Linked DNA regions of Arabidopsis thaliana. The protein of the gene in region 1 interacts with the protein of each later gene in a pairwise test. Each region holds a gene or a part of one and is shown on either strand. Other genes may lie near its edges.

Region 1 (8,311 bases):
ACCACCTGCTGGAGCTGCAAAAGGGTATAAGACCAATCAAAACTGGGCGAAACCAAGATGAAACCCCCTACTTCAAGAATTTCTATTCAAATCAGATGAACTGATTTAGTTTACTAAATGGTAACTACTACTTTAGTGTGTGATAATCTAACACCTGATTTGGAATTTCTTTGACTAATCCTATATTTCCCTATAATAGCATAGATTATATAGTCTACAGACAAGAATTATCTGACTACTGTACTGCCTAGTAGCTTTATGGGGAGAGCTACAAAGATGATAGAAAAATCATGGGCACAGATTAGACAAACTTTCAATGAAAATAAGTAATGGCCATACAGTCAAGAATCCGCTAAAGCTGTATTGCATTGTTGGTATGGTATTAATCCCCATTTCGAGATCATTGATATAAGGTCCATTTGTGTCCATGATCGACTTGACATTTGGGAATCCTGCGAATGCCCATGTGTGGTTCAAGCGGATGCTATAATCAAACAAATGAGGTCCTTGTTCATGGAATACCACTGCTCCTTTTATTTTTGGATTCGAACAATTCCTAAGCAAACATGATGAGGCTTAATCAGTTTTAACATTTAAAAAAAAAAAAAAAACGAAAAAGCATAGACAGCTAGTTATAACTTTGATGATAGTACTAGTGAAGATAAAATGCAGACACACTGGGCATGTGAAGCCAAAATATCTCCCTGTTTCCAACATAGAAAAGATACCAGTCTTGTTCAGGTAGTATAATCATCAAAGTTGTAGCAAATTTGTAACAACTAACCCAAGGAGATACTGCCATTATTCAAGAAATGCTAACCAATTCACAGAATAAACAGAGAGATGTACAAGAAAAAGTTTGAAGGCGACAAGAAACTAGGGATGAAATTGCCTTCTTATTAGCTGGAAAAAAGAACAAAACATACCTCACTTCGCTACAGACACCATAATGCGCAGATGTTATATAAGTTTCCAGCTCTATGTCATCTTTAAAAATTTTAGTAACTAGCTGCAAACAGAAGACACAGGGTCGATTAAACGTGTGACATATGAAGAGTAACTATCGATCTAGAATGCAGCATAAGATGAAGACGTGATGATGATTACCCGCAGTTCCGGAAACTTAAGAGACAAAATGTCGATCATGTTATTAGTTTCATCAGTGTCAGGTGCAAAAGCTAAAAAATCCCCCTCAGCAAGCAAAAGCTTCAAAACTTCTGGAAAACTAGGAGAGTTGCCTTTGCCCACTTCGACGACTGTATCTTTGTCTATGTTCCTTTCATGATCAACAGAACAAAATGCAGAAAACGAAATCAAAATCCAATTTTAGTACGAGAGAGAGAGAGGCTAGTGACGAGTGTAAAAAACTGATATCTTACGAGTGAGCCGGGTGAATTGTGGTGTCAACCCGTGTCCTGACGGCTATCAACAGCAACATTACAATAGTCGGAAGCAAAATCTGCCAATGAATAAGAGAAAGAAGCAAAATTTGATCAACAATTCGAAATTTTAAAAACAAAAATTGCATTCAGCATCAAGGAGAAGAAGACCCATTAAGACGAGCAGTGAATAAGCATGAAAACGACATAGTTTTGAGGAGCAAAGAAAAAGAGAGAAACCTCAGCTGAAGTAACGAAGGGATGACGAGTTTTGAGGAGCCAATTCTTGCGGAGCATGGCCTTGAATTGCCTCTTCGATGAACCCATTTTTCCTTGGAACCCAGAAAGAACCCTAGACGATAGATTCTAGTCTTGGCTTCAATAAGAAATCATACTTTTATGGTTCTTCTTTGGGAAAAGGCAAAGCAAAGTAGCAAACTAAGAAAGCAGAGAGAGGTGGCGAAGACTTGGGCTCACCTCACTGACATTTGTGCTTCCTTTTTTTTTTTTTTTTTTTTCCTGCCAATTTATTTGATTCATTAATCAATTTGATTATACAATCAAACAAAAGAATTTTGCAACTAGCTGCGGATAACACAAGTGGTCGACAAAAATAGAAGAATTCCGAAACTGTTTCATTTATTTACGGGACCTTTCTTCTTCTATCAAAAAACCCAAAAAATAAGGAGAAGATTAGATTAGTTGTCGTGATATTAAGAAGGTAATCTTATATTAAACCAAAAAAAAAGAAGAAGATAATCTTATAATTAATATATATAAGTACTTAAGTACAGTTGCTGATGTTGACCCAAATATAAATCTTTGCGTCAATGCCAAGTAGGGGTGGCTCTCTCACGGGCTCCACATTAAAAGCCTAGTGTAGTGTACGTGGAACATCCTGATTCGTTTTAGAGTTGCGTTACGCCAATTATATTACGACGAAAACGACGACGTTCCTAAGTTTGACGGCAAAGTATACGAATGTTTTTATTATTTTTCCGAAGGTTGCCAATAAAAGCCGCCATTAGAATTATTCCTTTCATTGCCACTCCCCAACTTGATTCTTATTTTTATTTTTATCAGTTGTGACACAACTTTAAAGAAATCCACCTTCATATTCAATCCTCAAAAATGCTGTTTTTTTTTAACACAGAAAAAAAACAATTTTTAGTAAAATTATATCAAATGTAGAATCAAAATGACACTATTTTCTTCAACTAAAAACAATGAAACTTTTTTTTTAATACCATTAACTTTTAATAATTTATCTGGATTTTTTCAAAATATATGATCAAATTTCAAGTAACATCTAAATATATGTTAAAGATGATTTTGTTTGGGCTGTCGTTTCCAAGGATATTTTTGTTATCCGCCAGAGACAAAAAAAATCTGTTATGAGAAGCGGGGCTACTGGGCCAGCTCTTTGTGGCCCATAATTTAGAAATATTTTAAAACTTATGTATTGTTTTTGTTTTTTTTAGGGTGCGATTTTCCCGACTAAACCAACTCTACTTGTCTGTACATGTGTGTTCGACTAAACAAAGTTACAATCGTCTTCTGCTTTGTTGTTCGTCCATCTTCTACAATCGAACCTACTTCCCTTAACATCCAATAAACCAGAGAATAAATTGATGGTTTTCGATTGTCTCCTGTTAGCTCGATTTCTCCGCCGGCGACTTTTGGGATCAAATTTGATTCTTCACGATTAAGATTGAATTCGCCATTAGGTAAAGCTGCTGAATTTTAAATGTCTAGCTCAAAATCCAAACCCAAAACAGGTCCCAATCTAAGAAAAGTATTCATTCGTCTTTGCCACCTGTACAACTTTTTAAGATTTTCGTTTTTTTCTCTATTGGTGAACAAGTGATTATTTTAGTCTACCTTTTTTTCGATTTCCACTAACTAAAACGCAAGTAAATTTTTATCTTTTGTTTTAAGGGATAGTGGAGGACAAAATCTTGAAAACTGTTTTTGGATCCCTTCACCAGGTCATTCTTATTCTGCTTCTGTAGAAAGTAATAAACTAAAGTCATAATCTATCATGAATATGTGAACTTTTTTGAATTTGTTGTCTTAGTATCAAAAAGCTATGGTTTTGAAGATTACAGCTAAACTTTTCAAACAGTGTCTTTAATAAGCATTAGGAATTTCTCGAATGTTTACTTGCCACATTGTTCGATTATCTCTTGTCTCTTTTTGCACATTCCTTCATGTCTTCTTTCTTGTGTGTGTGGCTGTGGCTTAAAATATGTGCAGGTGGAGCATCATTTAAGAATCTTATGCTTTGGCTACAACGCCTATGGATACGGGTCAAAGCAGCATAGAACCTTATCAAGCCAAGTCTTTTAGTCGGGAGAGCAGTGTAGCCTCTTCTTTAAGCTTATCACGTAGTTTGCCTCACCTAATTGACAATGACGTCGATAGTGAGAGTGTCTCAGAGGCAGGGGATATTGGGGACCGCTCACTTCGGAGAAGGCATAGTGCTGGTAGAAGCAGCCGTTTGTCTGCTGATGATTTTATAGAACAAGGGACTCATGATACTTCTCGTCAAGAACAAGATATATTACATGACCTTCGAGCTTTCAACACTGCTTCCGTAAATAAAACTTTGCCTGAGGACATAACAGCATCTCCTTTACCGACCAAGTCACTCTTGTCACCTGAAATAAACAACTCCGTAGAGACTACCTCTAACTTTGCATAGTCACATCATTGTTAGTATTGGTTTCTTTGTCCAATGTTTTGATCTATTGTAGCTCGTGGGTTGCACAGGGAAAGGAGGAAGAGCGAGTGTTACCAAAGTCCTTGGAGTACATATCATGCCTAATTCATTTGGCTGTTTTTGGGATTTTTGGGGTAAAATGCTTATTTTCCATTTTCTGTCTGTCTCTCTGTTGTGCTTTGTTTTTGTTTAAATCATTATAATCAACTCGTTGACTCCAAATATACAGGCCATTACGAGATATTTGCTGCAAAAATTGTTTGGGCCAACTGGTGCTCGAGTAACAAGTGATGGGAGCATCTTGTACCTTGATCTTCCCTCCAACATGGTGAAAGTCGCAATGCACTCATCTCAAACTTAATTACAAACCTATCTTTCTTAATAAAAATTCTCCAAATGCTTCCTTATAGGTAGGATCATTCTTGATGGGTTGGTTTGGCGTTGTATTCAAAGCAGATATAGCAAGAGTTTCTGAATTTGTGGCGATAGGATTATCGACTGGTTATTTGGGGAGTCTGACAACATTCAGCGGTTGGAACCAGAAAATGCTGGATCTTAGTGCTGATGGTCAATGGGTGTATGCTGTGCTTGGCTTTTTATTAGGTAAAAACAAAAAATTCCCTTCTCAATCTCCAATCACCTACTAAATTGGATGAAACATACTTGCTTACAGCATAAACGACTTTACAGGATTGTTTCTCACGTCATACTCCATAATTCTGGGAGTGGAAACGGCCAAAGGGTTTAAATGGCTTCTTCATAGAAGAGCTTCTTCTGAGGATAAATTCCATTGTCTTAAGGTTAACACCTTCCAGAGCCATATTGTGTCTCTGACCCTGATGCTTCTGTTGCTTGTGGCTTTACTCACTGCCAGTTCCATACTGCTTGTGAAAGAGTTTGACAAAGGAACAAGCGAGGCTCAGCTATGGTTTGGTTGCTTAGTTGCAGCCCCTGGTGTCTGGCTCAGATGGTTCTTAGCCCGACTCAATGGACGTGGGCTGGGAAAGGATAGTCAAAATTTGAGATGGGTCCCATTTGGCACCCTCATTGCAAATGTAGTTGCAGCTTGCGTTATGGCAGCATTGGCTACCTTGAAGAAATCGGTATAAACTTCCTCACCTCCTCTCTCTACCAAACAGATCAAATCACAAAAGATAACATTCATTGTATATATTTTGGGAAACAGGTGAACACGAGAACATGTAACACGGTTGCTTCGAGCATACAGTTTGGTCTGTTGGGATGTCTGAGCACAGTTTCGACCTTCATGGCTGAGTTCAATGCGATGAGAGAAAGTGATTACCCATGGAGAGCCTATGCGTATGCATCTTTTACCATTGTGGTTTCTTTTGCGATTGGAACTATTATATACTCAGTCCCTGTCTGGGTAATAGGATTCAGTTAGTTGTATCAAAGCTAGATAAGTCTTGTGCAGATGATGTGATAATACATAGTCGTAACATTTGGTAGAGATGAATAATTAGATCGGTCACAATCAAATTATATTATACCTTGTGCAGAAATATTAAGAGCAAACTTCTATACTATAATGATAACTTTTTTCTGTTTTACACAAAATATCATGATTCTATATTCCACACTGGAAAAAAAAAAACACAACCACTAACAAAACCTGTACATTCCTGCTTCAGACCATTGTCACACTTTTCCCAACTTTTTCTCCATAAAAGAGACAAAGAGATGTCAAGTCGACGAATTCATCTCAAAAAAGGAGAATCTGACATACATAAAGTCTAAAGGGAACGGCTCATTTCTCTTGTGGGAGGTAGCTGTACGTGGAACAGCTGGTCTCTGTCTTTGTCACCTGCAGAAGAAAGAGAGCCAAAGAAAATGACATAAGGAAGATGTGTTGTAGTAACCTCTGAAGTCTCTGGTTCTATAGATATATGACTACGAACCTCTGAAGTAAGAGAGGATCCTGAAGGAAGAAATGGTGTCCAGAGAATAGGGTCTGCAAGAGGATCCAATGTATTGTAGTTGGTGAGCAATGGAGCCGTTAAGAGAGAGGTAAGTGGGTACATGCTTTTCTGAAGAGACAAAGCAGCAGCACCGCCTAAAGCAACTCCATGACTCACAACTGGTTTCTCTATTGCCTTGCCGTTATTCTTCTCCATATTGATGATGTTACGGTTTGCATTCTCATCGTTTTCATTATTGCAGCTTTCTTGGATCTTCAACACTTTCTCCTCTAGGCTCTTGAAGGCAGGCGACTGAGACAAGATGCTTAAAGCAGAAGAGCTTGATGGTGATGATATTTCTTTTTCTTTTCTCTGAGTTCCACAAAGGACGCCAAGGTTTGGCGCCTTGTATGGTTCTGTTGCATGGGATGTGTGTTCCAGTGTTTTAAGCTCAGTACCAGCATCTTCGACGTTTGCATCCTCTGATGCTTTTGATGAAGATTCTGGTTGACGGTTCTTGTTGGCTCCCCACCACTTTATGTATCCTGTTAGATCAATCTTTCTTTCCAGACAAAAGCTACCTAGAAAGTCACCTTCTGTTCCACGATCATCACCTGCCCCTGTTAATAATGACAATGAGTTTTGAATAGTCTGATGCAAGCAAACATTTGTTTCAATTAGGTCAATATTGTTAGCAACTCACCGTAATGAATGTTACTGAAGTATTCAGGTCCAGGCATACGACTGGCTGATGCGTCCCATCGGCTGGTCGGGAAGTGCAGAATAGATGGAAAGACAGCAGAAATGCATATCAGGTATGAATGTTAATTGTGAGAAAGAAGGTTAAAAAGACAAAACTAAAGAGGGCTACAGCCAAAACAGTGAAGATAGTTTTGCCATATCCCTATTCTTAAGAGTAGCATATAGACTTTTCTATGAAATTAACTAGTAGCATATCCACCATATGTCAATTAATCAAAACCGTGATGATCCACAATGTGTCACTAAAGAATCTTCCTTATAGGCAATTACACAAAGATGATCACTCTTGATTCCATAGTTTTTCAGACAAAACAGAGAAATGAGAACTCAATTGCTGGTCCAGTTTTACCTTTGAAGTCCACGATATTTCGCTATTCCCCTAGAGAAACCGCTGCTTTTTCTGCCAAAGGGATATCTAAAGAGTATCAGCAATAAATGGTTCTTAAAAGAAAACTATAGTGCTTTTAAATACATACGCACCTACGTAAAGATGCAAGGTATTCTTCCCTTGAGAGATTTTGCATTTCTTCTAAATCCCTGGTATAATCAGTCACCTACGAGAATGAAATACGTAAATGCATGTAGCTAAAAACAGTGAAACTTGAGAAGGGTGGCTCCAAAACACTTCTAACCATCCTTACTCCACTTATGCATATATATTGACCATGAAAATTATTAAGGAAACCACACGGTTGAAGAGTAACTTAGAAAGCATACTACGGTAGCAATCTCACCGGAAAATTTATAAGTGTCCCAGGACCCCAATATTTTAAGGCAGCAAGGTCGTAAGCTCTAGCAGCAGCCTCTTCATCATCATATGCTCCTGTCAAGTAAGAGTTGGGTTCTTCAGTGAAAAATTATCCAATTTGATATACAAGAATATAATCAACACATATAAAGCTTTTAGCTTACCTAGATAAACTGGTGTGGCGAAATTCCGTCACCCATGAAAATATATAGGAAACAGAAAAGATCAGCTTTGATACTCCAAACAAGAGAAAACTTATTGCAAATGACAACAGCAATTTTATCAGATGCAGAGAGAAAAAAAAAAGAAGAAGAGGAACCTTGTTTTCCCTTCTTGTTCTGGTTTTGGTTCCAGGTACTCTTATCCCAAAGGTGAGCTTCATAACGACCTGTCCATCTATGTCTGTACTCAACACAAATACGACAAACAAAACGCATCAACATCTCCAACTGCTATGGAACAAAAACCTCATACAGATGCTAAGCACACCTACTCATTTCTTCTAGTTTGAGCCTAGACACTATAAAATCTGACATTAGGTGAAAATTAGTGTGTTTTAGAACAGTTTACAGATTCCAGATAATTTAGCTCCACACAAGATCCCTAACCAAAGTGCATATCCACCAATCCAAACATTCCATACTCTAATACAGATAACACAACTCCCAATTCACAACCAAACCTATACTCCAATCTCCTCCGCATCATAAACCGACAATCCCGATTTGAAAAGTCACAGTACCTGGTGACTCCCCGGTATATGGAACTCCTTTTCCCAGCA
Region 2 (7,498 bases), on another chromosome or scaffold:
TCAGATGGAGAAACAGAAGCAAGAGATCGATCAGTTCATCAAAATACAGGTTCGTTATTTCGTAATCCAAACCAATTTTTCATCGAAAGTTTCGGTTTTTAAGACGTGGGTACTGATAAAGATTCAACCTTTTTTGCTTTGTTGATAACAGAACGAGAGGTTGAGATATGTGTTGCAAGAACAGAGGAAGCGAGAAATGGAGATGATTTTACGGAAAATGGAGAGTAAAGCTTTGCTTTTGATGAGTCAGAAGGAAGAAGAAATGTCGAAAGCATTGAACAAGAACATGGAACTCGAAGATCTGTTGAGAAAAATGGAAATGGAGAATCAGACGTGGCAGAGAATGGCTCGTGAGAACGAAGCAATTGTGCAAACGCTTAACACAACGCTCGAACAGGTTCGCGAGAGAGCCGCCACGTGTTACGACGCTGGTGAGGCAGAGGTGGAGGACGAAGGGTCGTTTTGCGGCGGAGAAGGAGACGGGAATAGTTTGCCGGCGAAGAAGATGAAGATGAGTAGTTGTTGCTGCAATTGTGGGTCTAACGGAGTAACGAGAGTTCTGTTTCTGCCGTGTAGGCATCTCTGTTGCTGCATGGATTGCGAGGAAGGGCTTCTTCTTTGTCCGATCTGTAATACCCCCAAGAAAAGCAGAATCGAGGCCCTCATTTTCTAGGGAAAATCCTTTCTTTTCTCTCACCGGAAAAATGCTTGCCTTTGTGTTCCGGTGAACGGAGAGTTTTTACTCCGGGTAGATGACGTGGCAGGGTAATTTGGTAAAAATAGGGGAGGAAAGGAAAGTGAGAATAGGGAAAGGTTAGAAATAGTAAAAGGTTATCTCAAGAAGTAAATTCTGATTAGGGTTTTCATTTTCCCTTTTTGTTTTTTGGTTCTTTTTCCATTCAATGGAGAAAAAAAAGGAACCCAGCTGGATTTGATGAACATAATTCATATTTTCCTTCTATCTAATGAATTTTCGGATATAAAGTTTGAATGCCATTCTTTCTATTTCAATGATAATTAACTTCTTAGGATTTTTAAACACATTAGTATTAAATATCTTAATATACATTTTCCTAATGATTATATGTATAAGATTTTCCTATATTAAACACTTCCTAATAAGCAAAAAACTAGAAACTTTTGACCGAAAGAATAATAATTCTAAACTAATATGAAATCCAATTTAAACATATCTTTTAAAAAATTTCATTTATAAAAAAATCAATTAAATCAAATTTAAACATATGTCTTTTAATTTACATAGAAAGCAAAACAAAAAAAGTTATATTCTTTTGAACAAAAAAAAGAAAGCAATGAAAAAGTAAAAAAAAAGAAAGGAAGCATTATATATTAATGGGTTTGTTTTGATGTAGGAAGATGGTGAAAAGAGGTGGTAGTAGAGGCCGTAGACACGCGTATTGGAGGAAGCTGTAAGTATTATTGGGTTGCTCAACAATCAATATAGTACAGTGACATGAGAGCACAATAGTAAGTAATAATTCCACATTAAAAAAATAGAAATTGAAAGAGAATCAGAGTTTGGCCTGCCATAGGATTTGAGTTCTCGCACTTTCCTAAACAGAAACATGTTTCATTGAACACTTGGGCCTTTCTTCTTCCTTCATTAAGGATTCTCGATCTCTGTTTCGACAGATCTGTGCTACCTAGGTTTTCTAGATACTCCCTAATACCTATAAATAAACAATAAGTATAACCTTATTATGTAATTAGATCGTACTACTATCAATAAACAAGATTGTAGAAAATAGTGAAAAAGGCAACGCATAAAGATTAATTAAATCTTATTTAAGTTTCATTTGGGACAATTTAAGATTATTGTCTTGTTCATAGGATTTATTTCATCTATTAGTATTACAAACTTTTTTACGCAAACATTATTATCTCTATGTATAGAATGATTTAAACTTTTAACGTAAACACAAATAAACAGTCAGTCCTATGTGCTATGGATGAGGTGATTAGCATTGTAGGGTGTTTCGTGTCATATAGCTCTACTAGTAGAGATTTTGTGTGTCAGTGTGTGTTTATTTACGGCTTTGAGTCTTCAAGACCCAATTAGCCTTAAGACCTTAGTGATTTTAGACTCTTTGTTGAAAAGCTAGAAATTGCAAACCCAAACCGCCTAATGTTGCTATAGGTTTTGATTTCCGAAGTGGGTAATTAATTATGTGGATTACGTATAAACACATGGCCCGGCCCATTTTACCCCCCAAGTGCTCGGCCCAAATTGAAAGTGGGACTCACTGGATTGCCAACTAATTTTATTTAACACGACGTGAAGTTTGGAACTAATACGTCAGGTATTAAAAGTACATAAACATCATCATTACTCAATTTGCTAATGGACGAATAGAGACGGAATCAACAAAGTAACAAACGACTTCAATATTTTTTTTATATGTTACTATGATTCGACAAAGGATTTTTTTTTTGTTATGAACTGAAGATTATTGGATTTTTAATCACAAGATGTCAATATCAAAATTCAATACCATGTCTCGATTAGGGATATCAATATCATGATATTTTAACAACTTTAACTATGTAATTTAATTCGATTATCGTTTTTGTTTTAACCTTCGTTTGATTTGTAGATGGTAGAGGTATTTAGTTGTTGAACTCTTCTTTATACACATGTTGTTTGTTTTGCTTCTTAAAAGGATAATAATTTTTAAACTTATTACATGTGCACCACTGGTCGCATTCGTAGTTTTCCATATTTTATGCGAAAGAAATGAGGATATCTTGGGAAGATACAAATTATTGGGATTGTTTTGCAATAACTCCAAAATGTTATGTTTAAGAGTTTTTTGCTTACGTATTTCATATCAAGCCACGTAGATGCATTTGTAATCTCATAAAACATTTCGATTATTATTAACTTACTGCACCATATTAAAAAACAAATTTCGATATCGAGATTGTAAATTGGGCAATTAGGAATTAGGAATTGAGGTAGGTAAAGTTTATAAGCAGATGAGGAAATAATAGCAAGGAAGAGAAAGAAAGTGGATGCGTCGTGGATTCCATATTTATGTGCTTTACTTTTCCTTTTGGTAGGCGAAAATTTTGACATTTTCCAACAAACATCCTCATGTATTTCACATATTGGCCTGACCAACTATTATGCATATTTTATACATTTGATGGATTAGGCTATAACATGGTTTTTGGAGTTTACTTTTATACGTTCGATCATAGGATAAACATACGTCTTTTATTAAAAGCTCGATCTAACTATGGCATGTTTTAAAAGTTCACATCTTTTGTCTCATTGCTAATTAACGTAAGAATATTAGGCAAGTCGGCTTTTTATACGCAGTTGTCGAATCCAACTTTTACCTAAACCCTTGAAAAATCGAAATTAAGCATTTTTATTTAATAGTAAAACTCAACAATTTTTAAGGTGGTATAGTGCAATAATTTAAAGATTTATCTTAATTTTTTCACTGTGATTTCAATTTTGAAATATAGTAGATAAAAAAAAAAAACAGAAATATTAATTCGTTAACAGTATTATTATTATTCTTATTTATATAAAAATTCCTTTTTTTCAAAAATCGTATATCCTTTAAACAGAGCATCGCACGTACTCTCTTCTATCTCAGTTTCGAGACTCATTGCCTCGCCGAGAGAGAAGGAGACGCCATGGAAAGGCTTCTTCAACCATCTTCTTCTTCTTCCTCAATTTCTCCTTCCAAATTCCCTTCACGGACTTCTCCTTTCCTTCCCCGTCTCCGCTCATCGGGTCTGAGCTTTGTCTCGACTCACCGGCCCGAGTCACGCCGAGTCAGCTCAATTTCCTGCAACAGTTCCCAGATTCCGTCACTGTATACGCCTATAGGATCTAACACAACTAACAATTCCTTCAATGGGTCTCCCAAATCGGATGAATCGAAACCTAATCCCGGATTTCTCACACGGATCGCGACGTCGGCTTCTGAGCAGCGAAAGGTATTCAATTTCACGTTTTGTTCAGTGGTAATTAGAAATCTCTGGATGCTTACGTCGATGCTTACTAAATGTTTCAATTTCCACATTTTCGTATAGTTTTGGGGACGAGCTTGGCTTACATTAGATTTGGGGTTTATGGGTTTTAATGGGGTTTGATTTTATTCAGGAAACATATGAAAAGTTTGTATATAGTTTGCTCGAGAAGAAGATTCCAAGAATTACAAAAAGTTCCAATTTTGTAGGGTTACATATGTTACTATCCATCAGTCTCTAGAATCATGGAATCATGTTCTCTCTGTTTTAGGATTCGGGAGCTAATTCGATATTGTTGACATTGAACTTGCTTTTTCATGTTAGATATTGATAGTCCCTAATTTCAAGCTCCACACTTGTTGGAACAATAGAACTCAAATCAATCTAGTTTCTTTTTTGTTTGATTAGTCTGTGTGTTGGAATTGTGCTTGTTCGCTGTCCTCTTATGTAGTCTCATGGATGTTTACCAGATCAATATATATCTGTGTTTCTTTGCAGACGTTATCTACTGGAACCGTTATACTAATCTCTGCAGTAGCTGTGCTTTTGCTTAACCCGCTTCTTGCACCACCTGCTTTCGCTAGCTTTCAAACTGCAGCTAAATCCGGTTGGCTAACAAGTGCGTGGACCGGTTTCCTTGCTGGTTGCTTGCACACGCTCTCAGGACCTGATCACCTCGCTGCTTTAGCTCCGCTTTCGATCGGACGCAGCAAAATGGAAAGTGCTGCTGTTGGAGCTCTCTGGGGATGTGGGCATGATGCTGGTCAAGTCATCTTTGGTTTACTGTTTCTGCTACTTAAAGACCGGCTTCACATTGAAGTATTACAAACTTGGGGTACAAGAATTGTGGGATTGACTCTTGTTATTATCGGTGCTATGGGAATCAAGGAAGCTTCTGAGATTCCAGAACCTTGTGTCGCTTTAGAAACCGACATCAGCATGGTATCAACAGAGAAAGAAGCCTTACCACTGCCCAAAAAGAAGAAGATCGGGTTTGCTACATTTGCAACTGGAGTGGTTCACGGGTTGCAACCGGATGCTCTGATGATTGTTTTGCCTGCATTAGCTCTCCCATCACGGTTAGCAGGGTCTGCGTTTTTGATAATGTTTCTGGTTGGGACAGTTATAGCGATGGGAAGTTACACAGCGTTTATTGGGTCTTGCAGTGAGGCTTTGAAAGAGAAAGTTCCAAGGATCACAGAGAAACTAACTTGGGTTTCGTCACTTGTGGCTATTGGTCTTGGATTGGGAATTGTCATCAGCCCTTTCTTTGGTTTTAGCCTCTACTGAGAAAGTAAAAGCTTCTTCAGGTAAATGAGACAAGTTGAAATCTTTGTAGTTCTTATAGAAGAAAGAGAGGTTTTTTTGGGTCCATATCACTCGTATTATTGTCACCTGTACGAACAAAATCTCGTAATCTTGCTTCAGAAACTCCTCTCGGAGAAAACCATTTGGTGATTCTTTTTATTTTCCTTATTTTTAAGAGAAGTTTGGTTTTGGTTCTGAATTATCGATCAACTGCATGTAACCATACTTTGTAATATTATCAAATTTTAACTAAAAAGTCATTCTTGTTTATATCATTTGAACAGTACTTGTCACAAATACAAACCCCAAAATGTCAAAACCAAGTTTATTTTCTAATGTCAGGATGTCAAAGCAGAGTTCAAATCCAAATTGTCAGATTATTCACACCAAATCTAAAGACTCTCGACACCCCACACTTGATACAACGACGTTATACACAAATGTGGCCACTGTTACAACACATATTGACAACTATTGTAAATTCCCTAATACCCACACATAAGAATTTATGGATTTTCTTGTCTTTTTCGTTTCATACTTTGCTATTCCCTTTCGTCCAGAACATGCAGACTAAAAATCACGTCTTTGTCGACAGCTCTTACGGGATTACATTCGTTAATATATGAGAAATATATAAGAATATGTCACAATCTTTCAAGGAAGAAGGAGCTTTCATCAAGTAACACCACGGATTATAAATCTTCAATGTATAATGTATTATTCTGATAAACGAGAGACACAACAACACACAAGGTTCTTTTGGTCTTTAAACAGATACTATTATAACATAGCACAGAAGATCCACATGATGAAGATTGTATTATCGCAACTTTGATCTCTTCCCATTTTCTTTTCTCTGCTAATTAACAACCACAGAAAGGCCAATCAAGAATTCTTTCACTCGTTTTAGATGCTTGGTCTCACGTTCAGACGGCTTGCCAGCTTCTGTCCCAAAGACTTATCAGCCTGTTTCACACATTTTTAACCAATCAGTCAAAAATGTTTAAAACTTGACAACTTTTCAACTGCTGAGACTTGAAGAACGAGACAATGACAGTAACAGAGATCAAGATTTCAGACCTGAGACCAGTAAGAGATCCAGATACTGCGGATTTCATGCGTGATGCGTGGGTCGGATAGGGCATCAATCCATCTCTGGATGAATCGTTCTTGCCTGAAGTTGAAAACATACCGTAAAACGTTAAGAACACAGATGTTCCTTTTATGCATTAAGCATCATTACAAAAATAAAACAATTAGTACCTCTCTGGTGTAAAGGTACGGTATCTCTCTCCAGGCTCCTTGAAGTTGTTCTCTTTCTCAATAATGCACTGAAAAAAAAACAGATTTCGAAACTTTTAGATCATATGTTCTTAAGTGAACCAATCCATGGGAAACAGAAACAGAGAGGAAAACAGAGTTGATTACTGACCCTCTCACGTTTTCCAGAACAGACAGCAGGCGGAGTTGGATACTTCTCAGCATGACGAACCTGGTCATACCTCGACGGGAAGTAGTTAACCTGTAACAACAGCTTCTTGTAAGACTATGGTATTCTAGCTTCAAGTTCGATATAAAGATATTGATAGTGTACTATTAAGTACCTCCTCGTCCCTGTGCATGAAATTCATGAATCCCTCATGGTGGTTGTTGTGGTGAGCACATTTTGGAGCATTGACTGGCAGCTGAAGGTAGTTTGGTCCAAGACGGTGTCTCTGAGTATCGGCATAGGAGAAGACACGGGTTTGAAGCAGCTTATCATCTGAGTAATGTATCCCTGGGACAATAATTGCAGGACAGAAAGCAAGTTGCTCATTCTCTGCAAAGAAGTTGTCAATGTTCTTGTTCAACACCATACGTCCAACAGGTTGAAGAGGCAAGATATCCTCAGGCCAGGTCTTGGTCACATCGAGCGGGTCAAAGTCGAACTTGTCTTCATCAGCAGGATCAATGATTTGGATAAAGAGCTTCCATTCAGGGTAGTTTCCAGCAGCTATAGAGTCATACAAGTCTTGAGTCGCATGACTGTGGTTGGTTCCTCCAACACGAATTGCATCTTCTTCCAAAAGAGACTTGACTCCACAAGTTGGTTTCCAATGGAACTTCACGTAGTGAGCTTTGCCAGCTTTGTTGATCAACATGTATGTATTGACACCTGAACCATCCATGTGCCTGTAATCTT
Region 3 (7,767 bases), on another chromosome or scaffold:
AGCTATAAAAAATATCTCAAATCCAAAGATAAACAAAAATTATTATTTGTACTACTATACCCTTAGCAAATGTGCTCTCTCAAACTCACTGATTGAATGAACCAACCTTTGAGGTCGGCAACGCAATATGGATGAAGAACAAATCGCCTTCAGCGTCACATTCATCAAGACCTACATTGTAATACGACGGACGAACTAATTGTAAGATGCTGATCATATCATCAATTTAAGAGCTAAAGATTACTAATATAACAAATCTGTTTACGTTAGATAACTAAACCATTCAAAAGGAAAATAATATTAACTAGTTGAACATGCTTGTTAGTGACAAAACATGTTCACAAGATTTTGTTTGACCAATATTGAACTATGCAAGATGGTCATTTCCTATAACAATTCTTTAAAGAATACTATATAGATATAAACAGTTCTATCTAAATATATAACTAGGTTCGATTCATTTCATCTTTGATGTCATCATTCAACGCTTTGATAATTCTTTTATACAACCAAATTAAACTAATCAACCATACTTATTCTATACCGACGAATCGTTTTGCTACACACATAAGCAGCCTTAACTACTCACAAGTTACAATAATCCAATCATGCTTAGTACCAACAAGTTTGGTTCTCCTCCTCATCCTCCGGCGAATCTTGAAAAACAATTATTATTTGCCGTAAGACTAAAAGACCACGCAACGCAACACAACTGTCACGGGATCATCGGTCCTCCTTTTTCTTCAATCCCAAAACATTAAAAATGAAAAAACAAAAGACGAGAATATGGTCCACCTCATCGTCGCATCTTTTGACACAAGTCGCAAAACTAGTGGCCTCTTCTCGTCTTAATTATTAAAACCAAAACAAAACATAAAAGCCATATAAAAATCACTTTAATCTCCTTAATTAATCACACTTTTAATTAAGCCAAAAGTAAGACAATGATTAGTGCTACTAATCTTCGGTGGCTTACAAGATTACGAGAACGACTCGTAAAGAAAAAACGCGTCTTCCTTGTTTCTTTCCTTCTTTATCACAACGATTATTTCCTTTTTCTTAACAAATCAAAATCAAACAATATTTCACAAATTAAATTCCTTTATATATTTCCTTTCTTTAATCTCTCTTAAAGAAAAGGAACAAGAAGAAGGTACTTTTGTCGGCCGGCGCAAAAACCAGATCTCTTCTTCACGAGTAAAAACCTTCTCTAGATCAGTTTATTAAGCAACCACCCTTTTGCTCTGTTTCTAACAAACCAGAAGAAGAAAAAAGTTTCAATTTTTCTTGAAGATGACGGAGTATGAGAATGGGAAGAAGAGGAAAGTACGAAACAAACAACAAGTAAAAGTACAGTTCTTGTCTCAAAGGTATCTAATCTTATGCTTTTGTTGTTTCTTCGTCTTGCTCTTCTTCTTATCTTCCGACCGAATCTCCACACTCTCTGTTCGTTCCGATTCTCTGAGACCGTCTCTTCGTGTTCCTACTCTCTCCGTTTTATCATCATCCATGGATTCGTTTCACCGTGGTAGATTCCCTCCGTTGAGTGTTGAAGACAGAGTTCAATTCCCTGACCATTTATTGCTGATTCTTTCGCACGGAATTGGGAAAGGTGAAAAAAACCTAGTTTGTGTTTATCGTGGAGTAAAGGAAGAGACTTTGGTGTTGCCCTCGATTTCTAGTGATGAATTCGATGAGTTTAGGTCGATTGTTCGATGTCCTAATGCTCCTTTGAACTATTCTTCATCTGTTGATTTGCAATTCCGTGGAGATTTGGTGAAGAAGAAGATGAAGAAACAGAGCCGTCGTGTTCATAATTGGGAAAAGGTTGGTTATGAGGCGGTGATTGACGGCGACACGGTGGTTGTGTTTGTTAAAGGATTGACTCGAAGACCTCACAAGGAATCAGATCCTTCTTACTATAAGTGTCAATTTGAGATTGAGAATTCGGAGGAGAAAGAGGTGACTCAAGCTATTGCTGCTGCGCAAGAAGTTGTGAGGTGTGGTTTGCCTGAGAGTTTGAAGCTAAATCCAGAGATGATGTTTCGAGTGAGTGTAATTCACATTGATCCTAGAGGAAGAACTACCCCTGCTCTGCCTTCGGTTGCGAGAATCTACGGTTCTGATTCGATTGAGAAGAAGGAGAAGAAGAGTGGAGTTAAGCATGAGCTTTGTGTTTGTACAATGTTATGGAACCAAGCTCCGTTCTTGCGTGAATGGATCATGTATCACTCGTGGCTCGGTGTCGAACGTTGGTTTATATATGATAACAACAGCGATGATGGTATACAAGAGGAGATTGAGTTGCTTAGTTCGGAGAATTACAATGTGAGTCGACATGTTTGGCCTTGGATCAAGACTCAAGAAGCCGGTTTTTCGCATTGTGCGGTTAGAGCGAAAGAAGAATGCAATTGGGTTGGATTCTTCGATGTCGACGAGTTCTACTACTTCCCTACGCATCGCTCTCAAGGCTTACCGAGCAAAAACGCTTTGAAGTCGCTTGTATCGAACTACACTTCTTGGGATTTGGTTGGAGAGATCAGAACGGACTGTCATAGCTACGGTCCATCCGGTCTGACCTCGGTTCCATCACAAGGCGTGACCGTAGGTTACACTTGTAGACAAGCGAACCCCGAGAGACACAAGTCGATAATCCGCCCTGAGTTGCTCACAAGCTCATTGCTCAATGAAGTACATCATTTTCAGTTGAAAGAAGGAGTGGGGCATATGAGTTTGGTGGAGAGTGTTGCGGTAGTGAACCATTACAAGTACCAAGTTTGGGACACTTTCAAAGCTAAGTTTTACAGAAGAGTGGCTACTTATGTTGTTGACTGGCAAGAGAATCAGAATCAAGGGTCTAAAGATCGAGCTCCAGGGCTCGGGACAGAGGCAATCGAGCCGCCGGATTGGAAACGACGGTTCTGTGAAGTGTGGGACACTGGATTGAAGGATTTGGTTATGTCGAATTTTGCTGATCAAGTGACTGGTTATCTGCCGTGGCAGAGGCAACAACAAGAATGACTTTTAGTTGGTTTCTGATTCAGCAGCAGGTGTACATTTTATTTACATTTGACAAGGATACATACAAAATCTACATCAATATTTCTTTCTTTTGTTACTTACATTTTTTTTTTGGTTTTGTTGATTGGTGGGGGATAAAGTTGGCTTATAATATCTTTTGTTTCTTAGAGTTTACCACATGTAAATTTCGGTAACACTGCTAAATCCCTTTTTTTTTGTTTTTCTTTCTTGTTCTTATATGAATGGAAGTGAAAGATTTCAAGAACGAAATTTGTAGTAGTAGTACTTAGGTTTCGAGTTAGAATCTCAGATGAAATGTTTAAATATTACAAACGGTTGGTCTCGAGGCAATGAAGATTATGGGCCTAAAGTCATGAAACCCATGAGCTGAAATGTAAGTTAATGCTGTGAAAGCCCATGGGCCAAAACACATTTTTGTTCAAGTAATGTCTTTTTTTGTTTCCTCAGTTCTAGTAATAATGTCTTCTGTTTTAAAAAAATAAAATATTTTTGTCTTTTTCTTTATAACAAGTTCAAAACTCTTGTGACTTATTATTATTAGTTTATTACCAGCCAACCAACCTTTCATACAAAAAGAATCCCATTTAAGTCACATTATATCAATATCAATAGAGGAAGAATTTAATTTTGATTAAATTGATACGTTAGAGTTAAAGAATCATGGTTCTAAAATTCCATGTCTGATTTTAGGCAAACCTATCAATACAAGAAATGAAAAAAAAATCTTCACCCAAAAGTGTTATCCTTTTTGAAAAATTAGCTTTCCCTTTCAATTGTAACATGTAGTAGTAGACTAGACTGACTTGTATATATCCTCTGCTTCTCTCAGACTTGCTTTTCCAACGGTGTCGTTTTGTAAGAAGATTCTTTTTCCCCAAACAAAAGATAAATACTAATTTCCACTAAGTTACTAAAAAAAAAAAAGAGTCAAAAGAGCAACAAAAAAAAAAAGTTTCTCATCTTTTCTCAACAGTATCACACAGTCAATGACCATTCTTCTTCCGCCATAGAAGCTCTCTCTGCTTTTTAACCTAAGAAGAAGAACTAGATCCATCCTTAATCATGAAGAAGATCTTCATCACACTCTTATGGCTTCTCTTCATAAGCTCGTTTCTCTGTTCTTCTTCTTCAGCTGAAGACGACGTTCTCTGTCTCCAAGGTTTGAAAAACTCACTCATCGATCCTTCTTCTAGACTCAGTTCCTGGTCTTTCCCAAACTCTTCAGCTTCTTCGATTTGTAAGCTCACTGGTGTTTCCTGCTGGAACGAGAAAGAGAATCGGATTATTTCTCTTCAGCTTCAATCGATGCAGCTCGCCGGTGAGATTCCTGAGTCTCTTAAGCTTTGTCGTAGTTTACAATCTCTGGATCTCTCTGGAAACGATCTCTCTGGTTCGATTCCTTCTCAAATCTGTTCGTGGCTTCCTTATCTCGTTACGTTAGATCTGTCTGGGAATAAGCTTGGTGGTTCGATTCCGACTCAGATCGTTGAGTGTAAGTTCTTAAACGCTTTGATTCTGAGTGATAATAAGCTTTCTGGTTCGATTCCTTCTCAGTTGAGTCGATTAGATCGCCTTCGACGTCTTTCTCTAGCAGGGAATGATCTCTCCGGTACGATTCCGTCCGAGCTGGCTCGGTTCGGAGGAGACGATTTTAGCGGGAATAACGGACTTTGTGGGAAGCCTTTATCGCGATGTGGAGCGTTGAATGGGAGAAATCTGAGTATTATTATAGTTGCTGGAGTTCTTGGAGCTGTTGGATCTTTGTGCGTTGGTTTAGTTATATTCTGGTGGTTCTTTATTAGAGAAGGTAGTAGGAAGAAGAAAGGTTATGGTGCTGGGAAGTCTAAGGATGATAGTGATTGGATTGGTTTGTTGAGGTCACATAAGCTTGTTCAGGTGACTTTGTTTCAGAAACCTATTGTGAAGATTAAATTGGGTGATTTAATGGCTGCTACGAACAATTTTAGTTCAGGGAATATCGATGTTTCGTCGAGGACTGGGGTTTCGTATAAAGCGGATTTACCTGATGGGTCTGCACTTGCGGTGAAGAGGCTTAGTGCTTGTGGGTTTGGTGAGAAACAGTTTAGGTCGGAGATGAATAAGTTAGGAGAGCTTAGACATCCGAATTTGGTGCCGCTTTTAGGGTATTGTGTTGTGGAAGATGAGAGACTGTTGGTGTATAAGCATATGGTTAATGGTACGTTGTTTTCTCAGTTGCACAATGGTGGATTGTGTGATGCTGTTTTGGATTGGCCGACTCGGCGTGCGATTGGTGTGGGAGCTGCTAAAGGGTTAGCTTGGTTGCATCATGGATGCCAACCGCCGTATTTGCATCAGTTTATTAGCTCCAATGTTATACTTCTTGATGATGATTTTGATGCTCGGATAACAGATTACGGATTGGCAAAGCTAGTTGGATCTCGTGATTCGAACGATAGCTCGTTCAATAATGGGGATTTGGGGGAGTTAGGTTATGTAGCGCCTGAGTATTCGAGCACCATGGTTGCGTCTTTGAAAGGAGATGTGTATGGGTTTGGGATTGTGCTTCTTGAATTGGTTACAGGGCAAAAGCCTTTGTCTGTTATTAACGGTGTGGAAGGGTTTAAAGGGAGTTTAGTTGACTGGGTGAGTCAGTATTTGGGTACTGGTAGAAGCAAAGACGCTATTGATAGAAGCATATGTGATAAAGGACACGATGAGGAGATATTGCAGTTCCTGAAAATCGCATGTAGCTGTGTTGTGTCCAGGCCTAAGGAAAGGCCAACGATGATTCAGGTGTATGAATCTTTGAAGAACATGGCAGATAAACACGGTGTTTCGGAGCATTACGATGAATTTCCTCTGGTCTTCAACAAACAAGAAGCTTGAGTATCTTTACCAGAAAGTAGTCTTTTTTGGCAGCTTAAGCGCTAAGAAGGTATGAGAAATCTACTTTTGTATCAGAAGCTTTTTTTTTTTTACTTTATATCTCATTCTTTGTTCCTTCCCTCAGTGTTGTTAGTTTTTAACCGTGTCAGTGCTCGTGTTTGTCTTGTATCTCCTACCGTATAATTCTGTACATTCGTTTGGGTCATTAATGTACTCTTTGGAATGTAACCTCTTCTGATGAAATGAGAAGATTTCAGTCTTATTTCAAGCTCTCCTATAGTTTGGCATTTGGTTTAATTTCTTAGGTTCGTAACGGCTCTATGCCTTGGAGTTGAATCATTTGAAGAATGTTTATTTGTCTGTTGATTTTATCTTTTGAAGTAATGTCTTTGATAGTCAAAAAGGTCAATGCGTAATTTGGTGTGTTGTGATATCTTTTGGATGAGATGTGGGGTTTGGTCTTATAATAAAGACAATAGAGTTAAAAGAAACCGATATGTTGGAGGCAGATGTAGAGATGTCTGCGTCTCGCTTGGCCATAGACACATGAACTTCGACCCCACTTCTCAATAATGCTTGCTATCGTCTTGTCAACATTTCCTTTCACAATTTGTTACTTTCTTCTTTGTTACTACTGTTACAAGTTGTGAAAGTCATTTTTTGTATCGAGTGACTTAAATGTCAATTCAGCATACACTTATTGTATCGAGCAGGACACTTGGACTCTCGGTTTTATGTAAAGCTTCATCTGCTACAATGGAAACAGTAAATATATGAAAACTTGTTGGAGAATGAGAAATAGAACAAACACACTTTAGGTCTTTAGCAGATAAAATACCTTGATCATAGAAGTCTTTGGATTTGTTAACCAAGTCTTCACAAATTTTGTGAACATTCTACAAAATTGCACAGAATTGTGGGAAACAAGAGTCTCCTCTTTTTGGGTTTTTATTGATTATAGAAGCAACGGTATAAACTGTAAAAAAACAACTAAACATCCTAGAAAGAAAAAACTTACAGAAGCACACACGCTATATGATCAACAAACAGCTTGTATGGAAAGAATGTTTTTGTGCAGTTTCTTAACTTCTCTGTGGTAGCAGATCATGCAACAGTGGAATCACCTTTTGCGCTGGCTTCACCTTCTTCAAACGAGCTGAAAAAATTGGCAAGTTTCTGAGAAACGGTTTGTTGAGCCTCGGGTAATGTATTTTCTCTGCCTTCCAAATCATCATCCCCCTCGTAAACGAGATGAATGCCATGCATCTTTAGCTCAACGCCTTGTTTGATTGGTGGGTTTCGTTTGATCACCTGTATGGTGTACCCGTCTTTCAACATCGTAACCAGTGGGTGAAAAGCTGAGTATCGGCAGATGTGAAGCTGATCGTTATTTGTTCTAGGCACTCCGGAGAGATGCAATGTGTTGGTGCATTTGTGATGATCAAGTTTATGAATTTGGGCTTGAACCTCCATCACATCAGGCAGCTGATAGTCGTCATCTTCGGTTTCATCATTAAGAGCCACAACAACAGCAATGATTACACCTCTGAGCTCTCTGTTCGGTTGAGCTGAGAATGTGACAGGGCCTTGCGAGAACCAGTCCGGGACCCTGTTTCCAGGCAAGCTCAGATTCCGCATCATCTTCAAAGAAGCCTGCAGTAACAAATCAAAAGTGGTGTAAGAAAGTTTTTTAAATAGGCCATGATGAGATTCTGTGGAGTTTTTGGAATCACCTTGGAAAGTCTTTTCTTTACTGCAAGGGAGTAGTTGGAGTTACATCCGGTCATGTATAATCTTTTCAGAGCCGTCAAGTGCTCTAGGCCTGGAATATCAACCACTTTCGCACAGTTTGTGAGA
Region 4 (8,644 bases), on another chromosome or scaffold:
GCCGGAGCAAAAATCACCTCAGAGAAATAAAATGTGTCCTCGTCGTCGAGTAACGACTCAGTAATATCAACAGAATCACGGTGTTTCCCGTCATAAACTATGTCGAAAGATGGCGGCGAGAACTTGTCATCGTAGTTCTCGTAGTAGTACTTCGTCCTCACGAGGGTTTTCCTGCCTTTTGTCACCGGAATATTGGTGTAGCAGTTTGTTTGACCGGTTGGAAAATACCGGAGAGTATTGATCGGCTTTGTGGTGACGTCCGTAATATTAATGGATTCGCCGGTGGTGACGAAACCCTTATCTCCGACCCATGTTACGTTGTTGGAGTCCACGTAGGATCCCGTTGTTCCACAGTCAATGCTTATACCTAACGATAGTGGAGGAAATAAAAACTGATCAGTAACTTAAAAATTAGATTGATATATGGATACATATATATAACATTGGGAGGTTTTTAAAAATTATAATAATCTATATATCAGATATTTATAGTTTAGGTTTCAACAAAACAACCAAAAGAAGAACAATAAAAACTGATTTAAAAATGATTTTATATGGATATTTTGTTATTATCGAAAAAATCTGAAAAAAACTAAACTGAAACCAAACCTAATCTTTAACTAGACTGCCCATCCCTAAATCAAACTACAGTGATCAAACAAAACAATTAAACACAGCGGGAAGGAGATTTTAGACACTTTTGTGGTCTATATTCATTTCCTTCTTCACATATTGTAGTAACACCCTTTTCGATGTTTAGATGATTTTAGCAAGGACAATTCTCAAAATACCACATTTAAGTTTTTGTTTTTTAAAATACCACTTAAATATAAGTTTTTAGTAATACCATTGAATGTTTTAGGTTTCAAAAGTACAACAAAACTAAAATTTAACTTTCAAGATTCAAAACTAATCCTTGAAGCCTAAACTAAGCATGCCACTTCGAATTAACCAAACCGAACCAATCAGATATTTTGGTTATTATATCGGTTAATTGCATTTTAAAATTCTTCCGAAATTAATTTCTATGGTTAGTGTAAAAAAAATCAAACTAAACCGAAATTAACCATAAATTATTTTGCGTTCTAAATCACAATTTTATGAAACTAATAGTAGTAGTTATTGCAACAAAACTTACAAGTATGGTATTTTAAAGAATTTATCTTTTACCAATGGCTTTCAAGTTTCAACTACATATGTCGTCAACCCATAAGGGTTGATTCCATTATGTTCATTGTAGTAAGACGATGATCATGAATGCCAAAGGGATATACAACTATATCTAACAAAAATATTTACCTTTTTGATCCTGAGCTTGAACAAGGTGAACAATAGCCAAAGTTGATATAAATGCGAGTAACAAAACCCCATGGGGACTCTCCATATCCCCACTGTGTATAGACATCATGTATTTTTTCTTGATTTAAAGCAGAACTTGCATTGACATTATAAGAGAAGACTTTTCAGAGTAAAGCCTGAAAATTACGTGAGATCATGACTAATTAGTAGGATACAAAGAGAAATTCAATGATTAAATACGTATCTGGTGGGCAATAGGATATATTATTTTTGGGTTATACGTCATATTATATTCAAGTTAGGTAGTTTATCAAAGTAGTATCATATAAACCTAGTAGAATGAAATTTATTAATTTAAGCCTAAGAGAAATATTCCGTTCATATACTGTCAATTGGAAATTAATAATTTTCTTATCAGTTAAACTGGAACTTAATAATATCGTATCATATCATTTCATCAATATTATATGTAAAATTTGGTGTTGGCTTTTGACATTGATATACATGTCGTACACAATTTTGGTGTTGGCATTTTGTCACCGGAATGTTGGTGTAGCAATTGGTTTGACCGGTTGGAAAGTACCGGAGAGTATTGATCGATTTTCTTACGACGTCCGTAATATTAATGGACTAGCCGGTGGCGACGAAGCCATTATCTCCGACCCATGTTACGTTGTTGGAGTCCACGTAAAGATCCCGTTGATCCACAGTCAATGATTATACCTAATGAAGTAATGATAGTGGGAAATTAATAACCGATCAGTAATTTAAAAGGAAGATTAATTATGATAACACGAAGATTAGTGGATGGAGAGATTTGCATTTGTTAATTTACTTTAGCATGTGCAACCGAAGATAGTTATAGTGTTTGCCCCAACAAATGACTATAAGATCATTCACATTTGTAGTTATACTTTTCTAAAGTAACTTTCAACATAAAGACCATGATGGTTAATTACACGAATTTTTCTGACTATATCAAGAAATTATTGATCTTGATAATTACAATATTATTGGATCGAAGACTATGATAATTAACGAGTTCATGTAACTTGTAGCACTCTTCCAAAACTAAAAATTTGGATAAGATTTTATATCAGTTGATTCTTCTTTTTTTTTTCTTGTGGGTAGTGTAAAAGAAAAGAGCTATATTGTTTTTTTTTGTAGGAAGAAAACAGCGAGTTTCGAATCAATATCAATCTCTATAATGTCTCCTATCATGTACTATTCTAATATTCTCTTGTAAATAATTAGAATTAGGTCCATCTTGTGTATATAATATATACGTCTGATGTCTACTGAAGACTATATCAGAGCAATAACATATTTTCCAATTCTAAATTTACTGTCACATTATCATGCATCACGTTTTCAAATTATTCTTTCCACTCTTGGTCGGATACAGATAGAAATACAATAGAACTTTTTTACAAACTAAAAGAATCATAAATGTTTGGAAAGAAAAAAACATGAAGAATAATAACACATGGATTGAGCTCTTCAATAACTAGTGTCCATGTCAATGATGTCCATCTTCAACAACATATGAATCAGTCATATCGCTGGCAAATTGCTGTCCAACTAGAGGCGACATCCCTGTGCCTGTTCCATGCTCTTGAAAAATAAATTCAAATTATTACGTACTTGTCATTTATATTCGAATAATTAACATATAGTAATTTATATTTCAATTAACTTAACCATACCTGTGGACGTATTTGGTACAGTACTGTTCGACTGTGACTTAGCATTTTGACGCTTTTTCCAAATAGCTGCAAACGCTGACGCGAGAACTGCAAAGGCGGAGGCGAACGTAACGCCAAGAATGAGTGGTAATTTGTTATTCTTCTTCCCTCCACTGCTTTTTGCCCCACCTAAAGTCGTCATATAAAGGCGTCACGACATGCACAAAAGAAAAACTTTTCTAAACCTTATCTAAAATTTGAAAATTAATTGAGATATATCTAAATTTAGTAATTTATTAAATGTGCTGAGATAAAGTGGCAAAGAATGATCCAATCAAATGATTAAATTTCATATCCTCACTGTTAAATTTTTATGTATATGAACTTAAAAAAAAAAAAAAAAAATCAGTATAATCTCTGCTAGAAAATAATAGATACCATTTACTAAAATAAATTAACAGAAAATATATATATTTAATAATGTATATAAATAAATAGTGTTGTTAAAGAGTACTAAATATCTATGTTATCCATGTAGGTTAGATATATATCCAATATCTTTAGACTTTAGATACATAGTGTACCATTTTTTATTTTCCGAAAATTCTATTTGGTGAGATAATTTTCAATTTGTGATAACTAAAAATCATTAAAAAAAAATTAAAAAACACCAAAGTTAAATAACTTAATAACAATAAAGAGAAATGTATATAGAGATTTGAGTAAAAACCTTTTCCCAAATTTTTTGCTTGTTTCGCTCCTCCAGAACCTTCATTCATTACATTATAAAATGAAAATAATTAGTATCATCCAAAGCATTTCATACTTTAGATTTAATCAAGTTGATTTTTTCTTTCTTTGCATTGAGATCATTCCTTCCTAATTATTGTCCACTAAAATCAACATCAATTTTTCATGTTCGAGTTTGGTTATTTATTTATAACTTGACAAATTATCGTTATTTAATTACTTGAATTAACTATTTATAGTTTTTATGTATTGGTCCAATAATAAATTAACTAACCTTCCGAATCATCCGTACTACCGCCGCCTTGGTCTCCACCGCCGCCTCCACTGTCTGGACTGGTATTACTTATCGAGTACAGCTCCAATCCGTTGATGAGGGGTGGCAAAACGGAGTCATCCGTTGACTGAAAGACTATCTGGGACGCCGATGTGGCCACTACATCTCTCAAAATGAATTGAGTTGCTTTCCCAAAAACCGGTACGATGGGACGCGAACCCACTTGAGTGTTGTCCAAGAAAACGTTGAACGATCGTCTCTGGGTTCGACCTAGACTTTGAGGCTCTGAGAAGTAAAGAACCAAGTATACTGGTACTCCGGTTAGGGGTAGAGTCTGGTCTGAGAGTACTAAGCCGACTCCTGATAATGCCTTTGACATAACAATCTCTGGTGGCTTGTTCGACGCCCCGGTGATGTCTATTGATGGGGCTGAGGTCGTTAGATCGGTCAGTGTGGAGTCTTGGGATCCTAACGCTAACCATACCCTACCGTAGGGGTCTAACGGGTAGCTAAATATATATCAAGAAACCAACAATATGAAAATATATTAATTACGCAATAATATCACATTGAAAGAAAGTTGTCCTTTCTAATTGATACAATTCTATAAATGCAAATTGACGTTATACAAGCTTTTATATTTGAATTAATAAATCTTGTCTAGACGTATAGGGTTAAAACTACATGCCTAATGAAATATTAGCAATGGATTGCAGATAATTTAAAGCTTTAAAGAAAATTAAAGTCAACGAAAAGACATCATATAAAACTTTTAATACTATGATTATTAGATGCATATATTGATTAAAAAATTCTAGTAAAAGCTTTGTGTATCAGTATACCTTATAAGCTCTTTGGCACCGTATGCAATTCTGTCGTGGAGAATGAGACCTTCGTTAGGACCAAGATCGTCGTACATGCCAGTGTCCAAACTATAAACTTCAATGGACGATATAAATGGGTTGTCGGACGGAGACGTACGTAAGAGACAGACGCTGATATTCTTATTCTCCGGAACATATATCACCTCCGAGAAATAGAACGTTTCTTCATCATTTAGCAACGACTCGGTAATTACAATAGAATCACGGTGTTTCCCGTCATAAATCACATCAAAAGATGGCGGCGAGAACTTCGCGTCGTAGTTCTCATAGTAAAACTTCGTCCTCACGAGGGTTTTCTGGCCTTTTGTCACCGGAATGTTGGTGTAGCAGTTGGTTTGACCAGTTGGGAAGTACCGGAGAGTGTTGATTGGCTTTTTGACAACGTCCGGAATCTTCATGGGCTCGCCGTTGGTGACGAAGCCTTTATCTCCGACCCATGTTACATTGTTGGAGTCCACGTAAGATCCGGTTGATCCACAGTCGATGCTTATACCTAACGATAGGCCAAACCAAATAAAAAAAAACGTTTAGTAGACTTAAAATAAAATTTCATTGGGTCATCAAATTAAGAAAAATATTAATGTTTGTAACGTACTTTCTCCTAATGTAACGGTTAGGGCTGAGAGAGAGAAGAGAGTGATGACATAAAGAAGCGCCTCCATCATCAACGAGCTAAATTTAACTTACTTACATGCACACATACGTAATATATAGAAGCAAAAAAGAAAAACAAAATACGCAATAGATAGATGATATAATTAAAGTATATGTTCATATTGTTGACTTGACTTATTGAGATTGCACAGCTCATATAATATTTAGTTGACTTGACTTATTGAGATTCCACAGCTCATATTATATGCATCAGCGTGCATATATCTCGATTTTGGTTTTAGATCATTGTTAATTTCAACAGATTAACCAACTAATCCGTCACATTTAATTGGTTATATATAACAAATTGTTCCCGACCTAATGCTAGCTACGTGAATCTAAAATATTTTGTGAGTACGTACGTATGCCATGTTAGCCTAGTTTATGTAGTAATTTAATAATCAGTTTAGACAATTGTGAATTCATTAAATATAAATATATGAAAATATACGGCACTCATGGATATAGATCCTACTATATGAGTCTAAATCACATCTACCTATCTTTCCTTTTTAGTGGTGTTTACCGTGATTCAATAATTATTGTGTTAAAAATTACTAAAAAAAATATACCTTGTTAAAATATATTCATGCATAAGAATATCATTATAAAAATTCATTGATAAAATAAGTGAAAAATACCTTATATACACAATTACACATTATGTCAGCTTTGTTGTTTGATGTTATATTTCTAAATATTATTGGCCAATTAATATCTTCTAATTAAAATGGTCGATTATTTGAAGGGAACTTGATTATTTAAGAAGAAGAATTGGCACTTGATAGGTTTGTCCAACTCATCATTTGGTTGACTTAGCATAAAGTTGACATATCGAAGTCAATGGCTTTGTTTGTATTCTTATATAGCACATAGACTTTAGAGTAAACGGCTCACGTTCATCCTCTTTTATTTTATAGGTACATTGTATTAGTATAACATACACATGTGTATATTTTAATGAAGTAAACAAAAAAATTCAACATAGTGCGAACAAAGTGGTTGAATAATTTCATGTGTTCCGCCGATCTCTTCGTATGATCAACGTCAGTATTATTCATAGGTTGGAACTGGTGTAGGGCTCAATTGTAAAATTTAAAAATAAACGAGAGGAAGCAAGTGGGATCCAAAGGATGTCTCTCATCCTAATAATCTATCTTTGACATTTGGCCGGCCTCTTGTTAATGCAGAACCAGTTTGTGTTTAAGAATCCGAACTATCTGTTTTATCCACACCAAATGAGACCAGTCCACACGAGGTCTTGTGTTTCTAATATAATGCCAAATTGCACTAGCCTTCTTCGTACTAGTGTTTTACGGTTGATTTTCCAGTGAATATTCATCGTTGGTTAGGTAGTTGTTGCAACAAAACCGGCCAGCCAATTTTCAGTGACTTGAGATTTTGGCTGACTATCATAACGTACGTTGAAATGTATTTTTGATTGTGGTATTTTTGAATTCCTAGCATACCCGGCCCATTATGTTTGTACGTATAGATTTCTCTAGGAATACCAATCGTTTGTCAACGCATGAGTATAGGAAAATTCAGTCAACTATTGATTATTGCATATGATGTTTGTTATATGATGATTGAAAGATCTGACGAGGATGATGGAAGATGAAAGATGCCAAATTTATCATTTAAATTGGAAACAACAAAATTTATATAGCTATATATGTGATAACACAGTTTTTTTCTTGGGATAGTATTCACAAGAAAATTTCACAACGACAAATATTTTGATATTTTGAATAACTTTCCAGGTCGCCCGCGACTAGGCTGATCCATGTTGATGATGATCAACCTGATGAACAACATAAGAATCATTTACGCCAATTTTGTTTGGTCCGCGACTAGGCTGGTCCCTTGTTCGAAACTTAAAACCAAATTAAGTTAGTAGATGCACTTGTTAATGGGCTTCATTTTTGGTTTTGCTTTAGGCAGCTAAATATAACGAGTCGGCCCTGCCTGACTGACTAGGTCAATTGCTCGAATTAAATTTTACAGATTAAAAACAAATATTTTAGGAAGGGTACAAGTGATTTCTAAATTGGATGAGATTTGATTATTTAGGAAGAACAATTCACACTTGAGTTTGTTCCAACTTATTTGATTGAGTGAATTTGATCTAACTTTTTTTGGGGTTGACTCCATGTGGAATGGACATTTTTTAGAGTTAACTGTTTTTGTGTTTGTTATGGGCCCATTTATAGGAATTTGAGAGTAAACGGCTCACGTTTGTTCATTTTGTTTTTGTCTTTTTGACATCACATTCGTCCAAATTTTCAATTGATACGTTAATATATGTCTGTACCATACCAATATAGTCATGATTCATGTATATTCAACGATGTGTGGTTGGAAATTCCATTTGTTCAGCCGATTTGCCCGCAAATCAGCAAAGTCCTAATCATAGGTTGAAATTAGTGTAGGGTTCGGAGGTCGACTAAGAGATACAAAGCTTATGTATTATTGATAGAATGTTTTTCTCAAGTTTTCTTCCTTGTTCTATGATTATTTCTATTAATAATTTTTTCAAGAAAGAGTAACCATGATAAGTGATTTCATGATAGAACCATTTTTTGGCCTTTGATATCGGTGAATTATTCATATAATCTCAACCAAGAGTTTGTAATATTGTTAAGGGGTGAAATTGGGCTTCGCCAATTTCGGCCCAACCCAGTGACTAAAACCCGGGCAGATTCGGCAGGAAAGAATTCGCCTAACTAGTTTAACACCCGACCCGCAAAGATAAACGTTTGGCTGCGCAAAATTTATTTTTGGAAAATCACGTTGTGTGCCTTACAATACGGACGAGTATAAATAAAGAATGGAAAGTTTTGGGAAGGACAACTTTTTGGCACTTGGAGAAAGAACAAGGCAAGTCAACTCGTCAATCGGCAAGTCAGCTCGTCAATCGACAAGTCAGCCCGTCAAGACAGATTAAGCGATCGCGCTCCCAGCTCGTAATTCCTCTTCGCTGAACGCCTCAGCTCGTCAAAATCATCCAAATCCCTCAGTCACGTCATCTCGTTTCGCTTCTCACTTTTCAGCCCGTCGTCATTCAACTTCAAGCCCAGCTCGCGGTTTAGAGACGG

What was found.
Region 2: the proteins of AT2G41705 (region 1) and AT4G35080 interact in a protein complementation assay, tested with the Arabidopsis thaliana proteins (one large-scale study listed by BioGRID).
Region 3: the proteins of AT2G41705 (region 1) and AT1G27190 interact in a protein complementation assay, tested with the Arabidopsis thaliana proteins (one large-scale study listed by BioGRID).
Region 4: the proteins of AT2G41705 (region 1) and AT3G46280 interact in a protein complementation assay, tested with the Arabidopsis thaliana proteins (one large-scale study listed by BioGRID).

The regions. Positions count from the first base shown.
Region 1 is NC_003071.7:17,394,405-17,402,715, forward strand, and holds AT2G41705 (camphor resistance CrcB family protein), read left to right. Parts: upstream 1-2,865; 5' UTR 2,866-3,106; exon of another isoform or gene 3,107-3,635; 5' UTR 3,636-3,678; coding exon 3,679-4,056; intron 4,057-4,151; coding exon 4,152-4,235; intron 4,236-4,330; coding exon 4,331-4,429; intron 4,430-4,511; coding exon 4,512-4,704; intron 4,705-4,791; coding exon 4,792-5,204; intron 5,205-5,287; coding exon 5,288-5,506; 3' UTR 5,507-5,677; downstream 5,678-8,311. Other genes in the region: ABCA1 (ATP-binding cassette A1), read right to left, coding at 1-14, 340-556, 927-1,009, 1,108-1,276, 1,380-1,459, 1,620-1,706; AT2G41710 (Integrase-type DNA-binding superfamily protein), read right to left, coding at 5,856-6,640, 6,724-6,785, 7,132-7,182, 7,263-7,336, 7,517-7,605, 7,695-7,703, 7,850-7,932, 8,273-8,311.
Region 2 is NC_003075.7:16,694,715-16,702,212, forward strand, and holds AT4G35080 (high-affinity nickel-transport family protein), read left to right. Parts: upstream 1-3,619; 5' UTR 3,620-3,669; coding exon 3,670-3,975; intron 3,976-4,141; coding exon 4,142-4,213; intron 4,214-4,506; coding exon 4,507-5,298; 3' UTR 5,299-5,607; downstream 5,608-7,498. Other genes in the region: AT4G35070 (SBP (S-ribonuclease binding protein) family protein), read left to right, coding at 1-49, 152-673; CAT2 (catalase 2), read right to left, coding at 6,223-6,282, 6,397-6,490, 6,580-6,647, 6,749-6,838, 6,921-7,498. UniProt on the Arabidopsis thaliana protein: Together with CGF2, essential protein which supports female gametogenesis and embryogenesis, probably by securing local energy supply.
Region 3 is NC_003070.9:9,445,066-9,452,832, reverse strand, and holds AT1G27190 (Leucine-rich repeat protein kinase family protein), read left to right. Parts: upstream 1-3,786; 5' UTR 3,787-4,104; coding exon 4,105-5,910; 3' UTR 5,911-6,236; downstream 6,237-7,767. Other genes in the region: AT1G27200 (glycosyltransferase family protein (DUF23)), read left to right, coding at 1,294-3,021; AT1G27180 (disease resistance protein (TIR-NBS-LRR class)), read right to left, coding at 7,015-7,563, 7,644-7,767.
Region 4 is NC_003074.8:17,002,854-17,011,497, forward strand, and holds AT3G46280 (kinase-like protein), read right to left. Parts: upstream 5,676-8,644; 5' UTR 5,558-5,675; coding exon 5,488-5,557; intron 5,386-5,487; coding exon 4,851-5,385; intron 4,518-4,850; coding exon 4,009-4,517; intron 3,754-4,008; coding exon 3,715-3,753; intron 3,174-3,714; coding exon 3,006-3,173; intron 2,914-3,005; coding exon 2,819-2,913; 3' UTR 2,570-2,818; downstream 1-2,569. Other genes in the region: AT3G46270 (receptor protein kinase-like protein), read right to left, coding at 1-367, 1,300-1,408.